Linked DNA regions of Daphnia pulex. The protein of the gene in region 1 binds, or shares a complex with, the protein of each later gene. Links are inferred from orthologs where the notes say so. Each region holds a gene or a part of one and is shown in the gene's direction. Other genes may lie near its edges. The genes, in order: negative elongation factor E-like, nuclear cap-binding protein subunit 1-like and nuclear cap-binding protein subunit 2-like.

Region 1 (4,145 bases):
GTACTACAACAGAGTTTAAAGCAAATAATCAAGTTGTGGGCCCCACAACCGGATGCGCCAAAATGTACACCTACACACACACACACACCGATGTAGGCGTCACAACCTGTGTATGTGTTTGCTTAAGCTTTCTCCCGGCTGATAACCCCATTCCTATTGCTCACGACATTTCAAGAAAAACAAATTCAAATCTGATTGGATCGTCATATGTATAAAATATAAGATGGCCACCACGGCGAAATGGTAAAGAGATTGTCGTGTTTGAACACACACACACACACACACACAAACACACCAAGTTTAGACAAGTCGAAGAAAGAGCAGCTCAATCGAGTCAAGGCCGTCCATGGCGCCACCACCGCACACAAAACGCCAACAAAGCACACCCAATTCTCTCTCGGCCAACGAGAAAAAAATGGAGAATTTTCGTTGGGCTTTTTCGTCGTGTTAAACCAAGAAAATGGCAGCAGTTGTGTAAGCCTTACCCTCCATTCCATGGTAGCATGTGGATATTATTATTATGTGGCCAAGTAAAACGGTCGATGGCAAAACTATCGGCGAAAGAGGGAGCCACAAACACTTGCACTGCACGACGACACGGCCAGATGAAGACTGAGTGTATACCGGTTCACCAGGGCCCTATCTCTGCTGCAGGCGGAATGGCGGATGGGGAGGGTCCTAGAAATTCAGAGTCGGCGCGCGCCTACAATTCTACTACACTCGACATCTTCCAAAATAAAAACTTTTTTTTTTTCACAGAATGACCGAACTACACGCCAGTCGACTGATTTTTCAGACGCCAGCAGCAGCCCATTTCTTATTAATATGACAGGGCAGAAATTGTGTTCTTCTGATCAACAACTATGACCTCATCACACACACACACTGGCACTGTGGCACATCATTTTTTGGTCGTCTTTCTCAGTTGAATTGTTTTCCCACCATGACCGAAAATAATAGGGGAAAAAAGAACCTGTACAGGGGTTGGTGGGGAAAAAGCATTTTCCCCTTTTTACTTCTTTTCAAAAGAGGCTGGGGGTCCCCATTGTTGTGTCCAACCCAAACCAGAAGAGGGAGAAAGAACCTTACTATAATACTACTACTACTACACCGCCCACTCGATGGTTCTCCTGGGCAAGTGTCTCTACTATATTTTTACTACTATTTTGCCCTTTTTTGTGTGTCTGTGTCTACTTCCAGGGGGGAAAATGCGAGTCGAAATGGAACAAAAGAATCGTCGTCTCTCCCTAACTCGAAAGGAGAGAACCTTGAAAGTTTCTCGAATAACTCGAGGGTTGAAAAAACTCTCTAGCTAGCCGGCACTTTGGAAAATAAAAGACAGATTGCGCAACTATTGACAGTTTTACTCACCTAGCCTGTAGTGTATCGTGTTGTACTATCATGAGGCCGGCAAACGGACGGGCTCTACTACACACCTGCACAATCCATAAAAAGAATCAAGTAGGAGACAAAGGTGTGAAAAAATGTTTGTAACCTTGACACATCACCACTGTAAATTATACCTAGGCTCGTATCGACGAATGATGAGAACAGCAGCAACTGCAGATGGATCGATTTTTCATTCAAGCTACACACACACACACACACAGTCTCGTTACACCAGTTTCTCGTACTCGAATCTGTCTATTCTCTCCCCCTTGGTATACTCACGTCTGACGGCTACGGCGGCCAAGGATCGTGAATGGCTGGAATTTCCGTTTACGAGGCTCAGACACGTGACCTAAACACTTGTGATTGGATTGGTCCTTTTGAGGGAAAAAAAAATGTTCTGTTACCAGGTCCCTTGCTATTGTTATTTACGTAAGAATTCCACAGGCGACATCTAACGTCGAAATCTACAACTCGTCCTTGGGCGGCGTAAACAACAACGAAATTTAACGTTAAATTTGCAAAACGAACGAACAAAATCAAAGTCAACGCTTAATAAAATGGTTTATCTTCATTTCCCCTCCAATTTGACAGAAGAGGAATTAATGCTGCAAACTAAATATCAAAAACTTAAAAAGAAGGTGGGTTGCATGCAAATAGTATATACCTTTTACTATTTTACTAATGAAGTATACTGGAAATAGAAAAAAGCTTTGCAAGCACTGAAAGCACCCAAACCAGAACCAGAAAAAACACCTGCACTCAAAAGACCTGCAGAAGCAAGAGACGCCAGAGAAGTGGCTAAAAAGCTCTTGAAGTCCGGAGCCATTTCAGCCATTCCAAAACCTAGCGAGAAAACAGAAACTACTGGATTCAAAAGATCAAGAGGCTTAGAAAGAAAACTTTCCTCTTCTGATCGAGCACCAAGTGGATTCCAACCGTTTTCTTCAAGTCAAGGAAGTATGGTTTCTAATGAAGAACATGTCACACATGAAGCTAGAACCAAAAGCAAGGTAACAACAACACTATCCAATCCAAATAACTGTGTTCAAGCATTCTCCTTTCTGCTTAGGTTCCCAATCTCTATGAAAATTTCATTTCTTCAAGAGAATCAGATGCTGAACCAGCTTCAATTAGTCCAACAAACCCCAAAGAAACACCTACCTCTCCTGCCATTTCTCCAGTGAAGCACCAGAAACCTACAGTGGGGCACACAGTTTATGTAATCATTTCTTGGCTGTAGATTTTTGATGAAATGTGTTGATTAATCACATTGTTTGCCATTTTTAGGTGTTTGGCTACAGCATTACAGAAGAAATCCTCAAAAAAGCTTTCCAGTCTTTTGGAAATGTTGTAAACATTTCAATGGAAATTGAGAAAAAGTAATATCTTCTATTAAAGCAAACAGTAGCAAAATATTAAATACCTTTTTGTTCTCAGTTGCGGGTTCGTTACGTTCGACAAAACAACTTCAGCAGACAGAGCCATCAGTGAAGTATGTATAGAGAATTCCCTTAAAAAATCTACTCCTCACTTTTGCCTATTTTACTAAAATAGACAAACAAAATCCTGTGGGTTTTAAATGCTTTAGTAGTTGACCAAATCGTAATGGGAATTTTTATACCAAGTTTCTTGCCCAATATACCTAGTGGGAACTTTTGGCTCGTAGTAAATTTATTTCGAAATTTAAAAAAGGCGTTCCAGGTTGTTAAGCGCACCAGATTCTATCGTCACTAAAATTTCCCCTATGACGAATGTAATAATGATATACACTGCCATTGTTTTTCTTTTGTGACTGAATACTAGATGAATGGTAGCATGGTATCCGGTATTCAACTAAAAGTGTCACTCGCAAGGCGTCAACCTGTCATCGAACCTATAAACGATGCAACATCATCCGCTACGTGGTCCACAATAGGTTAGCCTTATTTTATTGAGCTTTCTAGTTTTGATGAAATGTCATTTATTTTTGTTTTCTCCATTTCAGCGGCTCGCAATTCTCAGAAAGGATCCTATAAAGATAAGCGCGATTTAGTGACATATGAAGAGGAATTGTTTTAAAAAGTAAATCATCACAGTACAGGCGGTTCTATGTAATTGTAATTTTCTCGTGGTGGATGTACAGTGATATTTCATTTTACATAAATTTCCCATCAGAAATACATGGAAAAAAACAAAAACAAGTTTTATTTTTAGACGGGCACCAAACGAGAGAATATTTAGCTTCCCGGATCAAATCTCTTTTTTTTAATTCCCCCCAACATTTATATACGATAAATTGCCTCTTTCCATCCCCTTCGCCCCCATTCCAGAAAAGTAATTTTACCTTGAAACGATCATAACGACGTAATAATAACATTAGACTCTTCGGGGCATTGCAAACGGAATTCTGTTTGTTGTTGAGTAATCACATAGACAGCGGAATGCGGTGTGCGAAGGTGAACGATTTTCCCGACGTTCAAAGTGCATAAAGTATTGATTTTGAAAGAATATTATGGAAAGAGGGGACAAGAATCTAGCTCCATTTGTCAAGCGATACGTATGGAAGGGGAAAAATATATCTCAAAATCGACAGACGCAGACCTATTAGCTTATAACAGATAAATGCTTTGCGTAAATGTCTGCAATCATGTCTCAATATGCGTTCTGATTAGAGACGTTCATGAATATCGTGCAACAGAAAAAAAATCAACGGAAAAAACAAAATAAAGTCGCAAATTGCAGGCCCTGCCTTTCAGCAACTAAAATAGACGATC
Region 2 (5,024 bases), on another chromosome or scaffold:
AGGAGAGGGCGATCTTTCGATAATTTTAGTGAAAAAACTAAAAGAACCAGATTACGTCCAATTACAAGTGAGAATACTGCATGTATTTCAAGTGTTCAATCAACAACAACGGAAAAAACTGCTGTCCAACGAAAAAGAGAATGCGGTGTTTATCAGCAACTTAACGTAAGTTTTACTTGAATAACCCATTTTTACTTGCACTATTTATAACGTGAAGTGTTCTTCTTTCAACAGGACAATCATTCGAAGAAAAGGCGAATTCATTCAGCCAAACGCTCAACAAGATCCATGAGGATTAGTGGAATAAAGGACAGGGTATTCTGTTTTATATTGTTTAAGCTTCAATTGGAATCGTAACATTTTTTTCTTTAACAGGGCAGGTGGCTGACTGAAGACAGTAATGCCCAAGTCATTATGTTTATAAAAATACCAAACTCAAGTGAACCAACCTTTCACACCTTTGTGTCAGGGGCCGAAGCAGCTGCCCTCCTTGCCACAGAGCAAGGGCAATCATTTAGAAGAAAATTCAAGGGGGATTTTGAAGAAACTGAAAAAGGGTTCTGTGACAGCCAGGGAAATGGTGAAAGATTAAGCACAAACAATTCTTTACCAGGTATGGCTCATGTGGTTGTTAGCAGACTTCCATTCATCGTTAATTTTATTATTCACTCTTCATTGTTCATCATTTCTTTTTGTATTCAAGTTGTAGTCATTGCAGCGGAATCTTTATCCACCAGTTCAGTGAATAACAGTAGTGTCCCATCAACAACAAATCCTGCTGTGGAGAAAAGTGTGAATGCGGGCCGTAAACGGGCCGAGAGCACACGTACAAGAGACTCAAGTACGAACAATTCTTTACCAGGTATGGCTCATGTGGTTGTTAGCATACTTCCATTCACCATTAATTTTATTATTCACTCTTCGTTTTAATCATTTCTTTTTGTATTGTAGTCAATGCAGCGGAATCTGTAGGCCTATCCACTAGTTCAACGGATGACAGTTATTGTGTGTCAAGCAATCCTGCAGGCTTAATCAATGCCGCTCATCAAGCTGATGTTCGTTCCATTCCATCCACAGTTTGCACTACGAGCCAAGTTGTGAATTGTAGCCAAGGTATACGGACGATTCGGCAAATTTGACGTTTGCCGAATTGGTTTTTGCCGAATTGGTTGACTTTGTTATTTTCCCGAATCGTACATACCAATTCGGTAAAAAGCCAATTCGGCAAAATTGTTTAAAATGCCGTTGTAAGGCCAGTGGCGCTAGCTGTGTGGGTTTCGGGTAATCAGCGCCACCACCAACACGCGAATTATACTGTCTTTCCCGAGAGATCTTTGAGCCCTTCCCGACATAAACACAAAACAAAGTGGAACCTGCTTTAACTGCCCATTCTTTTTTAGAAAACCATGGAGGGAAAATAGTTGAGTGAAAGGGAAGTTTATTATTTTAAAGGTTCCGTCGGCATACCATCGAACGGCAGTTTTCAAAAGCGCTAGTTGTTCGTCAGTCATGAAAATTAAATGACGTTTAGAACCAACTACAACTTCTCCTTTAAAAAACGAAGTGGGCATTAAGTCCATTTTGATTTGAAAAAAAAGATCAATTGGGTTTTTAGCAGTGCGCTTTGCTTTTACCCGATTTACAGCCCTAGCTAACGTTGTGGGGTTAATTGGGTTCCACAGTATTTGCCGCCAATTTACATTTGCACAGTTGCCGAATCGACTTTTGCCGAATCGGTAATTTCATAGGTGACAATTCGGCAACTTTGCCGAAACGGTTTTCGGCGATTTGCCGAAATGGTTTTTGCCGAATCGTCCGACATTCGTAGCCAATTTCACCTAAATTGAATTCAACAAATCCCATTTTTGCGTGAATTTAATTCAATTCAGCTGAATATAAACTGAATTGAATTTTTGCGCCAAATTGCGTTGCCTAAAATAAACAATTTTTACAGCTACGTTGTCAAGTTATGTAAACTATTTTCACGATCATCGAAGTTTATGATTTCATCAATAGATGGCGTCAAATTAACAGCTTCTTTAATAGCTCCATATGACAAACAGTCAAACAGGGTGGTAGTAGTTTGTCTGTCTTGTAAGCGTCGTAGACCAATTTAAAATAAAATCAAAGAATGAGTCGTAGGAAACGTGATGATGGATATGGTAAGGATTACAACTTATTGAAGAATTTGATGACATTATAAAAAGTTATTTGTTTAAAATTACAGAACATGGGTATCGTAAAAGGCGCAGAGTTGTCTCGGAGCAGGCAGAAATTGAAGACCGGTTAGAATCTCTTATTATCAGGGTTGGAGACAAAACGTCATCATCTTTAGAAAGCAATTTAGAAGGGCTTGCTTCAGTATTAGAAGCTGATTTGAACACGTACAAGAGTAAAATATTACGTATTTTGTCGGAATGCCCAATCCAAATGCCAGAGAAATGTACTATCTACAGCACATTAGTTGGTCTTCTGAATGCTAAAAACTATAATTTTGGAGGAGAGGTTTGTTTTAAAATTGTACTTTCAGTTTTTAAGATACAAGTATATCTTTTTTTAGTTTGTGGAACAAATAGTGAGAAACCTAAAAGAAGCTCTCCGTGAGGGGCAATGGGAATCTGCTCGTTTAATTGTACGTTTCATATCTGACATGGTCAACTGTCACATAGTCTCTGCCTCTTCCTTGCTACAGTTATATGACAGTTTTATTGACGCTGCCATGGAACAAGGAGTTCCTCAGGTTCGACGAGACTGGTAATTAAATTTTTGTTTTATTCTAAAGCAAGAGTAATGTAGATCACAACACTGTATCAATTTACAGGTACATGTATGCGTTGTTGACGGCGCTTCCTTGGGTTGGTCGAGAGCTTTTTGAAAAGAAAGAAAATGATCTTGAACGTATAATGGCAGCAATGGAAGGTTATCTTCGCAGAAGAAATACTGCTCATGTCGCTGCTCTTCGAGTTTGGAATTGTGAAACTCCGCACCCACAGGTCAGAAATGGCATGGCATTTTAATAATAATTGAAAAATTTCGAAAAACGTTCTTTCTAGGAAGAATACCTGGAATGTCTTTGGGCTCAAGTACGGAAATTGCGGACAGACGAGTGGCAGGAAAGACACATTTACCGTCCATATTTAGCTTTTGATTCTATCCTCTCTGAAGCTTTGCAACACAATCTCCCGGTCATTCTACCTCCGCCTCACACAGCTAGTACGCAATATCCGCTACCATGGGTTGTTTTCAGGATGTTTGATTACACTGACTGTCCAGAAGTAAGTTAAACGCTTTCAAAAGTGTGTATCGTGCGTATTTAACTCGGGACTCATTTTCAGGCTGGTCCACTTTTACCAGGAACTCATTCAGTAGAGCGTTACTTGATTGAGGAACATTTACACCAGATCATCACTCGTCATCATAACGAACGCAAGGAACTGTGAGTTTCAACTTGACAGAAACGTTTGTGCAGATAATAGTAAATTAATTTTGCTTTTCAGAGCCACCCAATTGTTGGCGTTCCCACAGAGAAATAAGATCCCTTTGGAATACATGATAGTTGAAGTTCTCTTCTCAGAACTTTTCCAAATGCCTTCCCCTCGTTACTTGGAGATTGCTTATGGTTGTACTTTGATAGAACTTTGCAAGCTTCAACCAAGTACAATGCCTCAGGTGAAAATATGATCTTACAGTAGAAACTTGAACATTTTCATTTGACTTTTTATTTCACAACCAGGTGTTAGCACAGGCTACGGAGTTGCTTTACGAAAGAATTGATACCATGAATGCCACCTGCTTTGATAGATTCGTTTCTTGGTTTTCTTACCATCTCAGTAACTTTCAATTCCGCTGGAGTTGGGATGACTGGCAGAATTGTCTTTCACTCGAAAAAGACCACCCCAAGGTAAATGTTTAAAAAAATGAAATTTTTCGAAATCTATCTAAAGGAACACTTAAATTTCAGGCAAAATTTGTTTCTGAAGTGTTCGGGAAATGTTTGAGACTCTCCTATCACAAGCGCGTGACTGAAATGGTGCCTGAATGTTACTCACCGCTGTTGCCCCCGAAACCAGAACCGTACTTTAAATACCAAATTGAAGGAGGAAATGGTTTTCCTGGGGCTGCTCAAGTCCAGACTTTGACTGAGCTCCTAAGAAAAAAGCCAACGCCTGAAGAAGTACTAGAGTTGGTCCAGCAACTACCGAATCCTCTCAAAGGTAAATATGGTGGATACAATATGTATAACTTCAAGCCATTTTGATGCAATTGTAATTAGATGACGACGGGGATATGGAGCCTTCACACAATCCTCTAGCAATTGAAGTATTTGTTCAGACTCTGCTACATTTGGGATCGAAGAGTTTTACGCATACTTTTGCAGGTCTCGCTAAATATCATTCAGTCTTCAAGGTATTTTCAACAGATTGAAATGTTATCGATAGTATAAAACGATTCAATTTTACGTTTCTGTCATAGAATATTTGTGAGAATGAAGAGGCACAGATCTGTATGCTTCGTCAAGTTTATGAGCTCTGGCAACACCACCCACAATTTTTAGGAGTGGTAGTTGATAAGATGTTAAAGACACAAATTGTTGAGTGTTGTGCCGTAGCAAATTGGATCTTTTCACGAGACATGGCACCCGAGTTCACTCGTTCGTACATTTGGGAGGTCTTGCACTTGACTATTCGCAAAATGAACAAACACGTCGTCCGTCTAGAGAAAGAGGTGGCGGATGCACGCGCTAAACTCAGAGCTGCACCATCTGATTCGGAATCATCTGATGAAGATCCATCTAGAGGTGCGAACAACTTTGGATTAATGTTAATCATTCGCTTAATTTTTTTTCCGTTTTAACTAAAGAGGGTGGCGAAAAGCGTCGACGCACCTCTAGCAATAAAGAAGCTACAAAGGACGATGGGGAACAACCTACGGAAGAGATGGTCGAGCGTATGGAAGAACGCTTGGAGGCTGCCCAATCAGATCAAAAGAACCTGTTTTTGATCGTGTTTCAAGTATACTATTAC
Region 3 (3,818 bases), on another chromosome or scaffold:
CTTGAGGATCAATAGGATTGGTAGATTACGATAACAAAATTAGAGAACACCGTTCACGCTTCGATGGTTCACGAGAGAGTAAACAAACAAAAACGTAAAGATTATCAAAAGGACGTCGGTGTGTGTATTGCGCCTCCATATCATGAGCCTCTTTGTTTGCTTTTTAAATTCTCTTTCTATTGCCAGCAATCGAATGCCAATAACTTCACCTGTCTTCGACAATGTCTTCCTTGAAAATCACCGACAACAAAGTACGGCAATACTCGGCTTCCTCCTATCAAATGAAAATTCAAAGTTTAAAATTCGATTTCATTTTCAAGTATTGACTAATAATTATTACCAGACATTCGTCGCGATCTCCGATTAATTCGATGCGGTTGTCGAGAAATTCACGAAAGAGAAACTCTGATCTACGGCACTCCTCGATCGATGGGGGGTGGCTCTGGGTAAGTGCCAGCAAGGCGGCCAGTAGATGTTCGTGAGTCGAGTCGTGATCTCGTTGAAGCAGAGCCACAAACTGCTCCACAAATCCCATATTACATAAAGTATCTAGTAAACAGGGTATTGGTTAGAGTACAAATGGAGAAACTTATGAATGTGAATAAAACCTTTGAAGGATGGATTCTCATTGCATAAACAAGTCAACAAGAATGAAGCCTTGATTTTCAGTTTCCCGAGTGATGATTGCAGTGCTCTCAGTAAAGACGAGAAACCATCACAATGCACAAATGCATCCTGGGCTTCTGCACATTCTCTTGTCAAACCTATAATCAATCAATTGTTAACTGAATTCCCTTAGTGTGAGTTGTAAATCTGCTCATTACATGAAATGGCGTACAGGGCTTTGATTCTCGCCTCTTCACAGTCATCGTTTTCCAGCATTTTAAGCAAAATTGGCAATAGGTCTTCGTTGAGCACATGCTGTTGGCAGTATGGGTTGTTCTGGGTGAGGGTGCCAATCAACTGACAGCACCTCCAACGAACTCCATCGTGGGGAGAATTCAAACAGGGGATGAGGATGAAAAATCCTCCTATCTTGTGAAAGTCTGGAGAAACAAGCGAAACAAGTGTCAATGTTTTATTCAATCAATAAAAAAAGATATCTCATACCATTAGCCGTGTCCATGGAATCGGCAAAGTCAGTAATCATTTCCAATGCTTCCTCCATCTCCTGGGGATCTTCTTCAGGACTTTCGACTCGATCTGGATTGAGGATATTTAACGATTTTGATATTTCGGCTACAACGTCGACTGACAATCCTCTTAGAGCTTCTTCTAACCAGCGTCTCCTTTCTTCACTCATCGATGTGGTTGTGGTACGATCTTCAGCTGCGGTGCCTTCGATGGCAAATCTTAAAAGTCCTTGCATATCTCTTGGTTGTCGTGGGGGTTCCATTGTTTTGCTAAGGATCTCAACAACAACTTGTTATATATTTATGAAGAATAAGACGCAGTACGCAAGTTAAACCGTGAACGCATGGGGCAAGCAGACGTCAATGAAACTGTTTACTAGCAAAATCAAGAAGAGTCTGGAATAAAAAGAGCCATCTAGGCATGACTCGCATAACTTAAAAAATTTTGACATTTACAAAACAAACCTGTTAAGTTAATTAAGATTTGGATAAAATTCATTGAGATTTTAAAAAATTATTGAAAAAATCTGCGAAAGTGTGTCATATTTTTATTTGGTTTTTAATTGTAGTTTAACGCCGGAATGGGTTTCTAGCAAGTGACGTAACCTAGCGGCCGCCATAAGCATCTTTTCGAAAGTCACTCGCGTCAGGTTTGTTGTGTCAACGCACACTTTTTTTTAGAAAAAAACCACACCAATTTTAGTAATTTAAAACGCATAAAGTTTAGCCGGTTGATTGGCTGAATACAAGGACACTTAATTCGGAAGACACTGGGGTGAACGGTGTGATTGGTTCTCCCGAAATAATTCGTAGAAATGGCGGTTCCAAGCACATACCGAGACCAACATTTCAAAGTAAGCCTCATGAGTTGATAGCAGAATTGAAAATGTAACTTAATATACAGTTTTGAGGCAATTAATGTTTAAATGGAAATGCATACCTTAATAATTAAAAATATTTTGATATTTCAAGCCAAAATAACTGATTTCCATCTTTCAGGGTTCCCGGGTAGAGCAGGAGCGTCTGTTGAGTCAATCTTGCACCCTGTATGTTGGAAACTTGTCCTTTTACACAACTGAAGAACAGGTTAAATACTTCCAAGTCAACAATTGGTTCCATTTGATTTCATCTTTTCAAATATTTTAGATCCATGAATTGTTTGGGAAATGTGGCGATGTCAAGAGAATCATCATGGGATTGGACAAGTTTACTAGGACCCCTTGTGGATTTTGTTTTGTAGAGTAAGTCATTGCAACCAAATCCAATAACAAAATTGTGTTTAATTATTTCTAATTATCTTTCAAGGTTTTACCTGAGGAATGATTCAGAAAATGCCATCAGGTTTGTGAATGGGACAAGACTGGATGACAGAATTGTGAGAACTGACTGGGATGCTGGCTTCATTGAAGGAAGGCAATATGGCAGAGGCAAAACTGGAGGACAGGTCAGCATTTCGTCAGCTCAAACTTATTGTTCTCAACTAATGGATTTCTGTTTTGCAGGTGAGAGATGAATACCGAACTGACTTTGATGGTGGCAGAGGAGGATGGGGCAAAATGATTCAGCAGAAGGTGGCCACATCTGCTGCTGCTAACAATTGATAACATTTCTAAATACTGTATTCATTCATCTCTGTGTGTTTTTTTTTTTAACAAATGTCAACAAGTGTTATCCTCAATTAAAACAGACCATGCTGAATTGATTTCCTAAACAAAATCTTTTTTACCTGTGAAAGAAGACGTTTCTCGTCATGTTTCCATCTGCCAGTCCGGTTGGCCTGGATTTTATCGATCGAAAAGTGGGGACACTAGAATCTCTTGCCATGTGATCTGTCACTCCCAAAGCTTTTTCCTTTTCAAAGCGAAGCGGGTAGTTTCCCAGAAGAGCTTTTGCGGCCGCGTGATGCACGCCATCATCTACATGCAAAGAAATATTTGAATATTCAATTCCCAGTGGTCGTCTGCAACTTATAACGAATGTCACAATTGAATTTGTGTCAAATGTGAAGCTAATTCAATGATCATTGATCAATTAGATGATTTCCAAAATGGAAATGGTATCGATTTCTGATTGCTCGGTAGTTGTTTAGTTATTCCAAATTAAAACTAACTTATTTATCGTTCGAAGAAAGAATGTGCTTGACGTGACATTCAACGTGCATCTGAACTACCAGGAAAATTGTACTGAGTGAGTGTGTGTGTATCTGGTGTTGGCTGTTTGAATATTTCTGGGCGACGGCAATCGAGTTCTCTCCCACTGCTGCAGCCGCTGGAAGCATTCATGTCCGCGTGCCGATCCGCGTGCTCCGCCGTGAGGCTATAGCGGGACTGGTGCATGTTGGCTGGCTGCTGTACCCACCGCCCAGCACTACAGATGTTGCTTATTCAAATATTGACGTAAAACTCACGTGGAGCGACATGAACATTGCCCAGCACCTGTTGTATAATCTTCATCTTCCTCCTGGTGGCCATGCCAACAAAACGGGGCTGTTTCCCCCCCTGCGAATATCCGTTTATACATCATTTAATTCCCTCTGTTTGAAACTAGTGTAGGAGCAGGTATTGTGTCTGGCCGTTAAGTTATCGATTGGTTGGTATATTAGGTGTCGTTGACGGCCAACTGCGCATTTGGCGAAAACGATATCAAACGATACGAGTATTATAACGTCGTCTATTTATTTTTCAA

What was found.
Region 2: the proteins of negative elongation factor E-like (region 1) and nuclear cap-binding protein subunit 1-like are in contact, whole or in part, in a crystal structure (PDB 5OOB), measured with the Homo sapiens proteins. The link is inferred for Daphnia pulex from reciprocal best matches to the Homo sapiens genes NELFE and NCBP1. Residues at the interface, in NP_002895.3 of Homo sapiens: Arg362, Ile365, Val366, Tyr367, Ser368, Asp370, Val371, Tyr372, Gly379, Phe380; in NP_002477.1 of Homo sapiens: Tyr461, Lys511, Lys557, Ser558, Ser560, His561, Ser564, Lys568, Ile609, Arg610, Gln612, Cys616, Lys647, Met648, His651, Glu705.
Region 3: the proteins of negative elongation factor E-like (region 1) and nuclear cap-binding protein subunit 2-like are in contact, whole or in part, in a crystal structure (PDB 5OOB), measured with the Homo sapiens proteins. The link is inferred for Daphnia pulex from reciprocal best matches to the Homo sapiens genes NELFE and NCBP2. Residues at the interface, in NP_002895.3 of Homo sapiens: Lys361, Arg362, Gln364, Ile365, Val366, Tyr367, Asp369, Tyr372; in NP_031388.2 of Homo sapiens: Phe49, Tyr50, Thr51, Thr52, Glu53, Gln55, Lys68, Ile69, Ile70, Met71, Leu73, Lys77, Lys78, Thr79, Ala80, Asp107, Glu121, Gln124.

Annotation. Positions count from the first base shown.
Region 1 is NC_060021.1:9,953,100-9,957,244, reverse strand, and holds negative elongation factor E-like, read left to right. Parts: upstream 1-1,858; 5' UTR 1,859-1,949; coding exon 1,950-2,030; intron 2,031-2,093; coding exon 2,094-2,402; intron 2,403-2,461; coding exon 2,462-2,611; intron 2,612-2,679; coding exon 2,680-2,771; intron 2,772-2,829; coding exon 2,830-2,884; intron 2,885-3,195; coding exon 3,196-3,307; intron 3,308-3,376; coding exon 3,377-3,450; 3' UTR 3,451-3,503; downstream 3,504-4,145. UniProt on the Homo sapiens protein: Essential component of the NELF complex, a complex that negatively regulates the elongation of transcription by RNA polymerase II.
Region 2 is NC_060022.1:6,378,098-6,383,121, reverse strand, and holds the start of nuclear cap-binding protein subunit 1-like, read left to right. Parts: upstream 1-2,007; 5' UTR 2,008-2,131; coding exon 2,132-2,162; intron 2,163-2,227; coding exon 2,228-2,505; intron 2,506-2,560; coding exon 2,561-2,754; intron 2,755-2,821; coding exon 2,822-2,993; intron 2,994-3,053; coding exon 3,054-3,275; intron 3,276-3,335; coding exon 3,336-3,436; intron 3,437-3,497; coding exon 3,498-3,669; intron 3,670-3,733; coding exon 3,734-3,901; intron 3,902-3,961; coding exon 3,962-4,214; intron 4,215-4,273; coding exon 4,274-4,407; intron 4,408-4,473; coding exon 4,474-4,798; intron 4,799-4,860; coding exon 4,861-5,012; intron 5,013-5,024. Other genes in the region: uncharacterized protein LOC124196162, read left to right, coding at 289-315, 376-613, 704-862, 952-1,139. UniProt on the Homo sapiens protein: Component of the cap-binding complex (CBC), which binds cotranscriptionally to the 5'-cap of pre-mRNAs and is involved in various processes such as pre-mRNA splicing, translation regulation, nonsense-mediated mRNA decay, RNA-mediated gene silencing (RNAi) by microRNAs (miRNAs) and mRNA export.
Region 3 is NC_060026.1:16,276,154-16,279,971, forward strand, and holds nuclear cap-binding protein subunit 2-like, read left to right. Parts: upstream 1-1,752; 5' UTR 1,753-1,948; coding exon 1,949-1,987; intron 1,988-2,132; coding exon 2,133-2,219; intron 2,220-2,279; coding exon 2,280-2,374; intron 2,375-2,438; coding exon 2,439-2,577; intron 2,578-2,635; coding exon 2,636-2,734; 3' UTR 2,735-2,831; downstream 2,832-3,818. Other genes in the region: hsp70-binding protein 1-like, read right to left, coding at 206-274, 341-549, 609-764, 825-1,046, 1,111-1,396. UniProt on the Homo sapiens protein: Component of the cap-binding complex (CBC), which binds co-transcriptionally to the 5' cap of pre-mRNAs and is involved in various processes such as pre-mRNA splicing, translation regulation, nonsense-mediated mRNA decay, RNA-mediated gene silencing (RNAi) by microRNAs (miRNAs) and mRNA export.